2 linked regions of the Oryzias latipes genome follow. Each later gene encodes a partner of the first gene's protein in a complex. Links are inferred from orthologs where the notes say so. Each region holds a gene or a part of one and is shown in the gene's direction. Other genes may lie near its edges.

Evidence for each region.
Region 2: the proteins of cinp (region 1) and c11h1orf109 are in contact, whole or in part, in a cryo-EM structure (PDB 8RHN), measured with the Homo sapiens proteins. The link is inferred for Oryzias latipes from reciprocal best matches to the Homo sapiens genes CINP and AIRIM. Residues at the interface, in NP_116019.1 of Homo sapiens: Leu161, Leu162, Thr165, Glu169, Asp177, Leu178, Leu180, Ser181, Tyr182, Ser184, Met185, His188, Pro190, Tyr191, Val192, Glu193, Ser194; in NP_001289959.1 of Homo sapiens: Leu107, Gln110, Ala113, Ala114, Asn116, Leu117, Phe119, Val122, Ala124, Leu125, Phe128, Pro129, Asp130, Leu131, Arg134, Leu135, Lys138, Gln139, Ala142.

Annotation. Positions count from the first base shown.
Region 1 is NC_019880.2:161,206-165,453, reverse strand, and holds the start of cinp (cyclin-dependent kinase 2-interacting protein), read left to right. Parts: upstream 1-1,333; 5' UTR 1,334-1,517; coding exon 1,518-1,551; intron 1,552-2,106; coding exon 2,107-2,257; intron 2,258-3,655; coding exon 3,656-3,785; intron 3,786-4,248. UniProt on the Homo sapiens protein: Component of the DNA replication complex, which interacts with two kinases, CDK2 and CDC7, thereby providing a functional and physical link between CDK2 and CDC7 during firing of the origins of replication.
Region 2 is NC_019869.2:20,075,501-20,080,017, reverse strand, and holds the start of c11h1orf109 (uncharacterized protein C1orf109 homolog), read left to right. Parts: upstream 1-1,412; 5' UTR 1,413-1,831; coding exon 1,832-2,109; intron 2,110-3,341; coding exon 3,342-3,521; intron 3,522-3,981; coding exon 3,982-4,100; intron 4,101-4,173; coding exon 4,174-4,214; 3' UTR 4,215-4,444; coding exon of another isoform or gene 4,445-4,517. Other genes in the region: cdca8 (borealin), read right to left, coding at 825-915; claudin-4-like, read right to left, coding at 4,445-4,517. UniProt on the Homo sapiens protein: Part of the 55LCC heterohexameric ATPase complex which is chromatin-associated and promotes replisome proteostasis to maintain replication fork progression and genome stability.

The DNA of each region.
Region 1 (4,248 bases):
AACGTCGCTAAGTTTTTTTAAAAACTTTATTGACAATTGCGGTATCATACATTAACAATGACATTAACGTTAACAACGAACAATAACAATGTAATGAATATTGCTTCGAAGATCAGTCACCATTGCCAAACATAATATATTAACATAGAAAATAAAGAATAGAGGGGAAAAAAGAAACAATGAACATAACACACAAATAAATAAAAACATAAGTAAAATAAAATAAAGGAACATAGAAAAAATCTAAATAGTCTAATACTAGTTAAGTTAGGGGTACTCGTGAAGTTTGTATTTCTGAACAAAACTAAGCAATTTCAAGCCATTCTTCTTTTTCATATAATGAAGTGATTGAAAGTAAAAACAGAGCTCTTTATTAAATGTTATAAAAAGTGGTTTGGTCTTCAAAACTTGACCTCACCAAGATGGCGGTGCTCTCCTCCTATGAGGAACCACGTGATGTCTCCTCTAGTGATATAACTCATTGGAAGGACCCTGAAGGACCCCGAGAACATCCGGCAACCCGAGAACATCCGGTACCCACACCGGAAGGGGGCGCTGTGGACCGTGCTAACCATAGAAGAAGAACGTAACCCTTCCGGGGGGGGGGGGGTCCAGATGATCGATATGGAAGGTGAGTGGAATCAGATCCAGCTTAGAGGACCAAACACGGAAGGACTGGCGTCTGCACGAGTCCTTTCTGGAAACGGTGGGAACATCCGGTCACGTGACTCGTCAACCCCAACTATGCAGAATTTGAGCGAGTAGTATCGTGAAAAAAGAACACTTCGTTCGTGAACGACAGGAACGGAAGAAAAGCGGCGGGGTTCCGGGGAGCAGAAGGGAGGGGGGGGGCTTTTCAACAGTCCAGAGGTGGATGGGGGGGGGGGGGGGGCAGCGGGTGGAAGAGGGTTTCAGGTGTGACCAAAGGTCAGGTGTAGCAGACTGGTGAGAGCCGCCAGAGAGAGGAGGAGGAGGAGGAGATGAAGATGCTGAGGTTCTCTCTGGAACCAGGATCATAGATGTTCTGGAGATGAAAGCAGGGATGATGATGATGATGATGATGAAAGGCTGGAGAGGCTGGAGACACCAGGAAAGAGGAGGTTCATGGATGAAGGAGGACATGAGGGAGGAGGCTGAGTCACTGCAGCGCCCCCTATAGGGAGCAGCAGATTAGTTTGACCTCCAGACTGTAAAGGTGGAGCTCATGTTCTGCTTTAGTCTTCATCTTTCATTCATGTTTGTTCCCTTTTGGGGTCATGGGGCTGCTGGAGCCTATCCTGGCCACTCGTGGGTGAAAGTGGGAGGCAACCTGGACAGGTGGGCAGTCCGTCGCAGGGCCACAATCACACACTCATGCACACTCACACCTAGGGACACTTTAGAGTCACCATGAAGCATTAGTCTGCCTCTCCTCCCTCATTAGATTGATCCAAACACCACCTTCACCTCTCCACCACATTCTTTCTACTGTATCCCACCCCCTTCAAGCTCCGCCTTCTTCAACTTTGCAGCACGATATGTCCCATGATGCTTCACTGTGGGAACCTGCTGGTGAGGCATGAAGTGGATCTTCACTGAAGGTCACCTTGTTAGTCGTTCCTGGTCGTCTTTTCATGATGTCGTTTTCTAACACGTAGTTTCTGCAGAGCGGCCGGATTTCATTAGAAATTCACCTCCGTGTTTTGGGGGGAACTTTTGGGGCAGAGTAAGCCTGCCCCCATTTCCCATCAGGCATCTGTTCACACTCTCTCCCACTAGCTTACAGTCCCTCAAACCCTGATATTAGTGGTGGAACAGAAATCTATCCAGGCGTACAGTTTAGATCCAGAAAACAAAGATGTTTATCTGCAGGTGGATTATCAGAAGGGGGCGGAGCCTCTGCCCGCCGTAGTGGCTTCCACATCACACTGACAAGCTTTTTGAATGACAATGATATGAATACAGAAATCCTCAGAAATGCAGTTTGAATCTTAAATTTCTTTAGAAATGTCCTCCATCATCAGAGAAAAGCCACAAGAACACGTTAAAACACCAAAAACAGCATTTTCCACGGAGCCACGCTTTGTAAGTCTGCAGGGTTCTCATGCCAGGGTGTTTGTTTGACAGGGAGATCATCAAACAGGAAGTGCCATGCAGTCACAGGAAGTGCACGAAAGGTCAGAGATAATGCTGCCGACTGGCACAACTTGATGCTGAGGTGGGACAAACTGAGCGAGGACGGCTTTGACGTCGCAACCAACATCGTCAACATCAAGAGGTGATTGTGTTTCTAGACCGTACGCCGTCACAGGAAGTACTGGTCCCTCCAAGATGACATCACTTCCTCTTTGTGCCAACATTGTAGCCATTGAGCAACTTTATTTAGATTTTCTTCCGTAATTCGTATGTTTGTTGTTCCAAGATGGTAAACTTTGTAATTCATTGTTAAATTATCAAAATAAATGTTAACATTTCCCGACAGCTCAGCCTCCTTTACGACACTCCCTCCCCCCCTCTCCTGGTCGGGCTGGGGAGGATCTGGTTCCCCTTATGAACACACGGTTCACTTTGGCAGCGTGCATGTATCTCCACCCCCACCTGCACGTGCACACTGCTCCCTGTCTGCCCCCCCCCCCCAACCCACAGTGTCTTGATGGACAGATGTCTTCAGATTTTCACCTTGGATGTAACATTTGTCTTTCCAGCAGATCTGGTAGAATTGTTACAGCTTAATATAATAACTTATTCAAATCAGTGCTTTTATCCCCCACTTTTTCACCTCTATTCCCTTTACTCCCCCCCCCCCCACACACACACTAAATGTAACTAATAAATAAAAAATAATAAAGTAGCAAAAAGGGGTTTATTCAAATCTACACTCTGGTTTCTGGAGTTCTATAACCTCTTTGTAGTAAATCCTGTCCAACAAAAAGGCCTTCAGCTCTGATCTGTTTGCTACGACGGAGTTTTAGGGCCACCAAAAAAAAAGTTAAATTACGACATTTTATCTCGTACATTTACGAGAAAAAAACTCGTAATTTTATTATTTATTTTTTTTGGTGGCCCTAATACTCCGTCATAGTTTGCTCAGCTGTTGGACAGAATAAGTTAAAAAAAAACAGCAGAGAAGTCCCCCCCCCCCCGATTACAGCGCCCAAAACTAAAAGACCGTCGCTGTAATGCAGCAGTGTACATGCATGTATGTATATACATGTATGTACACTGTATGTACATGTATTTACTCTTTACATACATGTATGTTGTTTTTTTCACAGACAATGAAAATATCAATGATGTTACTCAGAACTGATCTTTTTAATTATTTTTTTTAATTATTCAACATTGAATCACAAAGTTTACACCTCGGAAGAACAAACATACGAATTACAGAAGCATATCTAAATAATGTTGCTCAATGGCTACAATGTTGGCGCAAACAGGAAGTGACACAACGTTCCCACATGCGGGCACCAATCGGCGAGCCGTTCCAGATCAGGTAGCTACATATGACATCACAGGAAGTCCATGTCTGCGCGCCTTCAGCTCACTTCCTGTCCGTCTGCAGAGCGTTCTGCCCGACTACACCTGTTTGACCTGCAGGTGTCTCCTGCCACTCAGCGTGCACTAATGTCCTGCCCGTCACTCAGAAGGTTCTGACCCGTCCTGTGCTCCTCAGGTCTCAACATGAGCAGCTGCTGGTTCCTGAAGCTTCATCATCGTCTTCCTCCTCAGCGACCCTGCAGCCCTCAGGAGCTGCAGAGCTGCAGGCTCAGTGCCTCAAACTGCTGGACATCGTGGAGAAAATGGTGAGTTCCTTCAGACCTGAAGGCACTGAATAAAAGAGGAGGAATGCATCGGAACCAGAACTGGACCTGCTGTGACCGACCAGAACATACAGACCCAAAGCCACACCTCTGGCTCCTCCCTGCTGCTCCAAATTTAGGAGCATTTGGAGCCATAGTGGTGTCCGAGAGTGTTCGTTTAGGGGGAGACGTAGCGACCCTCCGCCAGTAGGGCGTTCGGCGGCGTGCTGTACCATGGAGAGGCTTTTCTTCACGTGGGCGTGGTCTGACGCTCAGAAATGTCATTTAACGATTTTATAAAGTTATCAAAGCGACATCATGTTTTCCGAATGCTGGCAGCTACACGCTGACGGCGACTATTCGTGACGTCGTCTAACTGTAGCAACGTCCAGATTTGACGACTCTATTTTCCAGAACTCTCCGCCTGCAGGGCTAAATGGAGGGAGAAGCCCGAGGCAAAGAATCA
Region 2 (4,517 bases), on another chromosome or scaffold:
TTTCTGATGATGGAGGACATAAGTAAAGAAATAAGGCTTAAATAGCATTTCTTCGTATTTAATTTTTTCAAGCTATTAAAAAATGCTAAGCTTTAAAAGATGCATATTTAATGAGTTTTGATATCAAAATTTAGATTGTTTTTTTATAGCACTTTTTCCATCCACTTCTTTATGATCCGGTTTATTGCATCATTTCGAAGGAGCAGAACTTCCTTTTTTACGTATAATTATCTTTTTAGCAACAAAACAAAAAACACAAACAGGAAATAAGCGATCAGTAAATTTACAAACAAATTCTAACTAGTTTTTGAGCACATTTTTTTATTAGTGCATGAAATTGCACATATAAGGAGAGGAACTCTTGTAGGGTCTTTCATGAAAAAAAACCTGCAATTTCCAAATGATAATAACAAATTATAACAGCTAAATGAAGTTATTTTTTGTTTTCTTTGGATTGTCTTGAAGACTCATTCATCCAGGTTGATTCCATCATAGTAGTAGGTTTAGGGGCTGTCATCTAGACTTAGTTTTTAAAGTTAGAAGATGTTTCACCCCTTATCCAAGAGGCTTTGTCAATTCTGAATTAGCTGGTAAGAGCTGGCATATATATATATATATATATATATATATATATATATATATATATATATATATATATATATATATATATATATATATATATATATCCCCAACCTGGTCAGCTCTTTCAGCTGTTACTGACAAAGGTTGAACAGGTTCGGTTTGTTGGGTTTCAGAACACTTTATTTCAGACAACAAACTGTAGGCCGAGCCTTTACTTAAGCCGAACTAGCATTGTCGTTTACCTTCGCTGTCGAAATCCTCCAAAAAAACTTCCAGTTTTTCAATTTTCTGGTTGTTCTTTCGCTGCTTCGTGGTCCTTTTCCTGGGCGCCATGTCCGCTCAGAACTTCACAAACAGGAGAAAACTGTGAAACGTTGTTTTCGAGATGGAAAAAAATAAGCCGCCGAGGACGTTAGCAGCTATGTTGTTAGCTTTGGAATCGGCAGGAGTTTATCCGGCAGATTAATTTACTCCCGTTTTCATTCTTTGGTCTCACTTATGATATAAATGTTTTTAGATTCAATTCGTCTGAGTTTGAAGCGGGTTTTCTTACAAAGGTAACAGTTGTGTGGGTTTCCCTCTGGCCTGCCTTCTTCGCGAAGTCGTTTTCAAATGTCCGCGCGAGGCGGAGCCAAGACACAAATCCAGCCAATCAGGACGTGGATTGAGCCCCGTCATCAGGGTTCGGCACTGCGAATGTTCAATGCTGCGTTCGAAGACAACTCGGGAAAAAATGAATCGTCCCCTGATGGAAAGCGTTTCAGTAAGAATCAAAAAAAGCATTTTTGTAAAACAGCTGAAGGGCAGGAAATACTAAAAATAGTCACCAAGTAAAAAGTTTTTTTAACTCACAATTACAATTTACCCAATTTAACCAAGATAAATAGCAACTTCCTACAGACATGCCTGTGATTATAAATATAAAAAAAAGTTCTCAAAAAGTCCAGAAGCATTAACAAAACCAGTGGGAAAATATATCAATAAAATGTATGTATGTGTGTATGTAGATTTAAAAAGGAGAGCACGAAAAAATACAATTTTCCGAAATCAAGTGCCTTTTTTGAGGAGCTACTGTATTTATGGGGCACCGTATCTCCAAGGATCAGTAAAGGCAGCATATGTCACTACTTGACACCGGAAGCGCTTTCTGGTTCTGCGCAGAAAAGTAGTGCAGAATTTTGCTGAGGCTTTCAGACTTGGTCAGAACTATATTTACAGTCCCATCCAAGCCAGAGCGGAGGCCGAGGGCATGTCTGACATCTCCCGACCGACGCTCAGCGCCCTCCACCAGGCGTTCAGGAACAGCTTCGCCGCGCTGGAGAGCAACCAGCGGCTGTGGGGGAGCGAGCTAGCGGAGTGCAGCCCTCTCCTGGGGTCTCTGGGGAACCTAGCGGAGCAGATGAGAGCTCTCTCTAACGTGCGGGTCTCCAGCACGCCGCTCGGAACCTTCCCGAAGCTGGAGGAGCGGCTGCGCTTCAAACTGCAGGAGGCCGCGGACACGGTGCTGGAGAAACTCAACGAGAAGATGTGAGACACGCGACAACTCCACACACACGCGCCTCTCGGATGACGTCATCACAGGGACTCCTGTGACGTTGAAAAGACTATTAGCTCTGTTTTTTGTGACAGCATAAAAAAAGTTTGTTTCAAAATAAGAGCTCCTGTAGTACAGATACTAGCACCAAACCATATATTACAATTTCCGTTTAAAGAAAATATTAAAGATAAAACCCCAAATCAAAATAAGCCACATAAGACCTTTACCAGAAACTAGAACCATCATTAAGCTACGTTCACACCGCCCTCAGCGATGCGCGTTCAAGAAACCACCAATAAAAAAAATGTAAATTTGCATTTTGGTTTAAACTCTTGAAGTTTCTACGATAATTTCTGAGCTCTGTATGTACAAAAAGTGCATCTATTAAATGTACCTTAAAAGTTAAACCAGGTCGAACTTTGACCAATTAGGGACTCAGATTTGGTAGTGACGCATGGATGGCACCCCTTTAAATTTACGGAAACACCAACCGTTTGAAAGTTGACCATGGAGGACAAATTAATGATTTTGATTTGATTCCAGTCGGAATATATGACACTAAATCTTTCATATATTGGACTAGAGATGCGAAAAGAAAAAGCCTGGAGTCAGATATACAAGAGATTTGCACCACTTTGACATTTCGCACCAAGACTCTGCCAACTGTAGGTGGAAGACAAGTCATGGTCAATTGTAGAAGAAGGAGAAGCCCCAACCCACTAGCACTGTGTGAACACTATGGGTTAACATGTTCTGGAACGCGTGTCTTTTTTTTTCTTTTTTTTTTTAAATGGTTTATTTCAACCAATCAAATAAGAACAATACACAACAACAATACAATCATCAGTTATACATTCATACAATGACGAATCAAACTTAGGATATTTAGACATATTAATAAATATTGCTTGAAAGGGAGTGGAAGGAAGCGAACGTATATAATCCCACCCCGTTATACCGTGTCATATGCCAGGTGTGTCCATAGCAGAGACAGTGCTGATGCATTCAGGGACATCATGGTTTTTTCTTCTGCTCCTCATTCACAGCAATTTGAATAAAGACATTTTCAGATTGCCAATTTTAAGCATACTTTTCTTTATGTATGTCCTCGATCATCAGAAAAAGGCCGCAAAAACTTGTCAAAACAGATAAAAACATGATTTTTATCAGTCTTCAAGGGCTTCCTTGTCCGAGGACTAAGACAGACTCCTTTCCTTCTCAGGTGTCGTCTGCAGTCTGCCAGAGACGCCATCAGTAACCAGGTGAGGTCCGTCATGCAGCTGTATGAGCAGAACGCCACCAGTTTGGACCTGCAGGCCGTCACAGAGCGCTCCGCCGTCACCCCGTCAGTCGCAGACATGCTGGAGTGGCTTCAGGACGCCGAGCGCCACTACAGGCAGCAGTATCCTTCCTGTCTGTGCTGTTGGTACGGTCCGCAGCATTCATGGACGGCAAGGACCGGATTGTTTTTGCAATTCTTTTTTTCTGAGAGCGAAACGGCAAATGCTAAAATATTTACCAAGATCTGCACAGACCCGGTACCCGCTGCATAGGAAGGCTTGACATAGTCCACCCCCTACACACACAAACAAACAAACTAACAAATAAAATAAAATAAACATTCCAGTGGGAGAAACCATCACAAAAATGAATGGGGCAAAGATCTCTAATGGGGTTCAAAAAATATATTTCAAATCCTTCAATCAAAGCCAAAACGGAGGATATCCATAGAAAACTTTAAAATTATGATTATGATCATGCCCTCCAGGGCAAAACAAAAGTTGGCGGCGAGGGCGGGGAATGGTAGAGCCAGCAGTCTGTTTTTTTGTTTCTGTCTTCTGCTCTCCTGAGCTCATGTTCAGATTCCTGCAGAGGAAAGTTCTGCTGCAAACGCTCAGACCCAACGACCTCGCTCTGCTGGAATCCCTTCCTGAGAGGTGGAAGTCCCTGGAGTCTCCTGACGGCGAGCAGCGAATCACAGGTAACATTAACTGTCCGAAGCTTGAAACGCGAGCTCCGCCAACTCTGAGATGTGGGACTCTTGTCTCCTGCAGAAACACTTTGCAGAGTGTCATTTTTCCTGGAGCTGGAGTGAAGACGGAGGAGCAGAACTGGAACCAGAACCTTCTGAGCAGGACAGAAGTCAATGATGCAGACACGGAGAGGAAGACGAGGGATTTGAAGACACTTCATCAAATCGTCTTTATTGTCTACTGAACACAGTCGGGTTCACTGCAGTTGCAACACCACACACGTCAGAGAGGACAACTGCAGCCAATCACAGCGCAGCGGCGCCCAAAGTCACACCTGGCGGGGATCCTCCTGCTACACGTACTCCCTCATGGGGAGGCTGCTGGAGGTGATGGGTTTGGGAGGATCGGGAGCGGAGGCGGGGGAG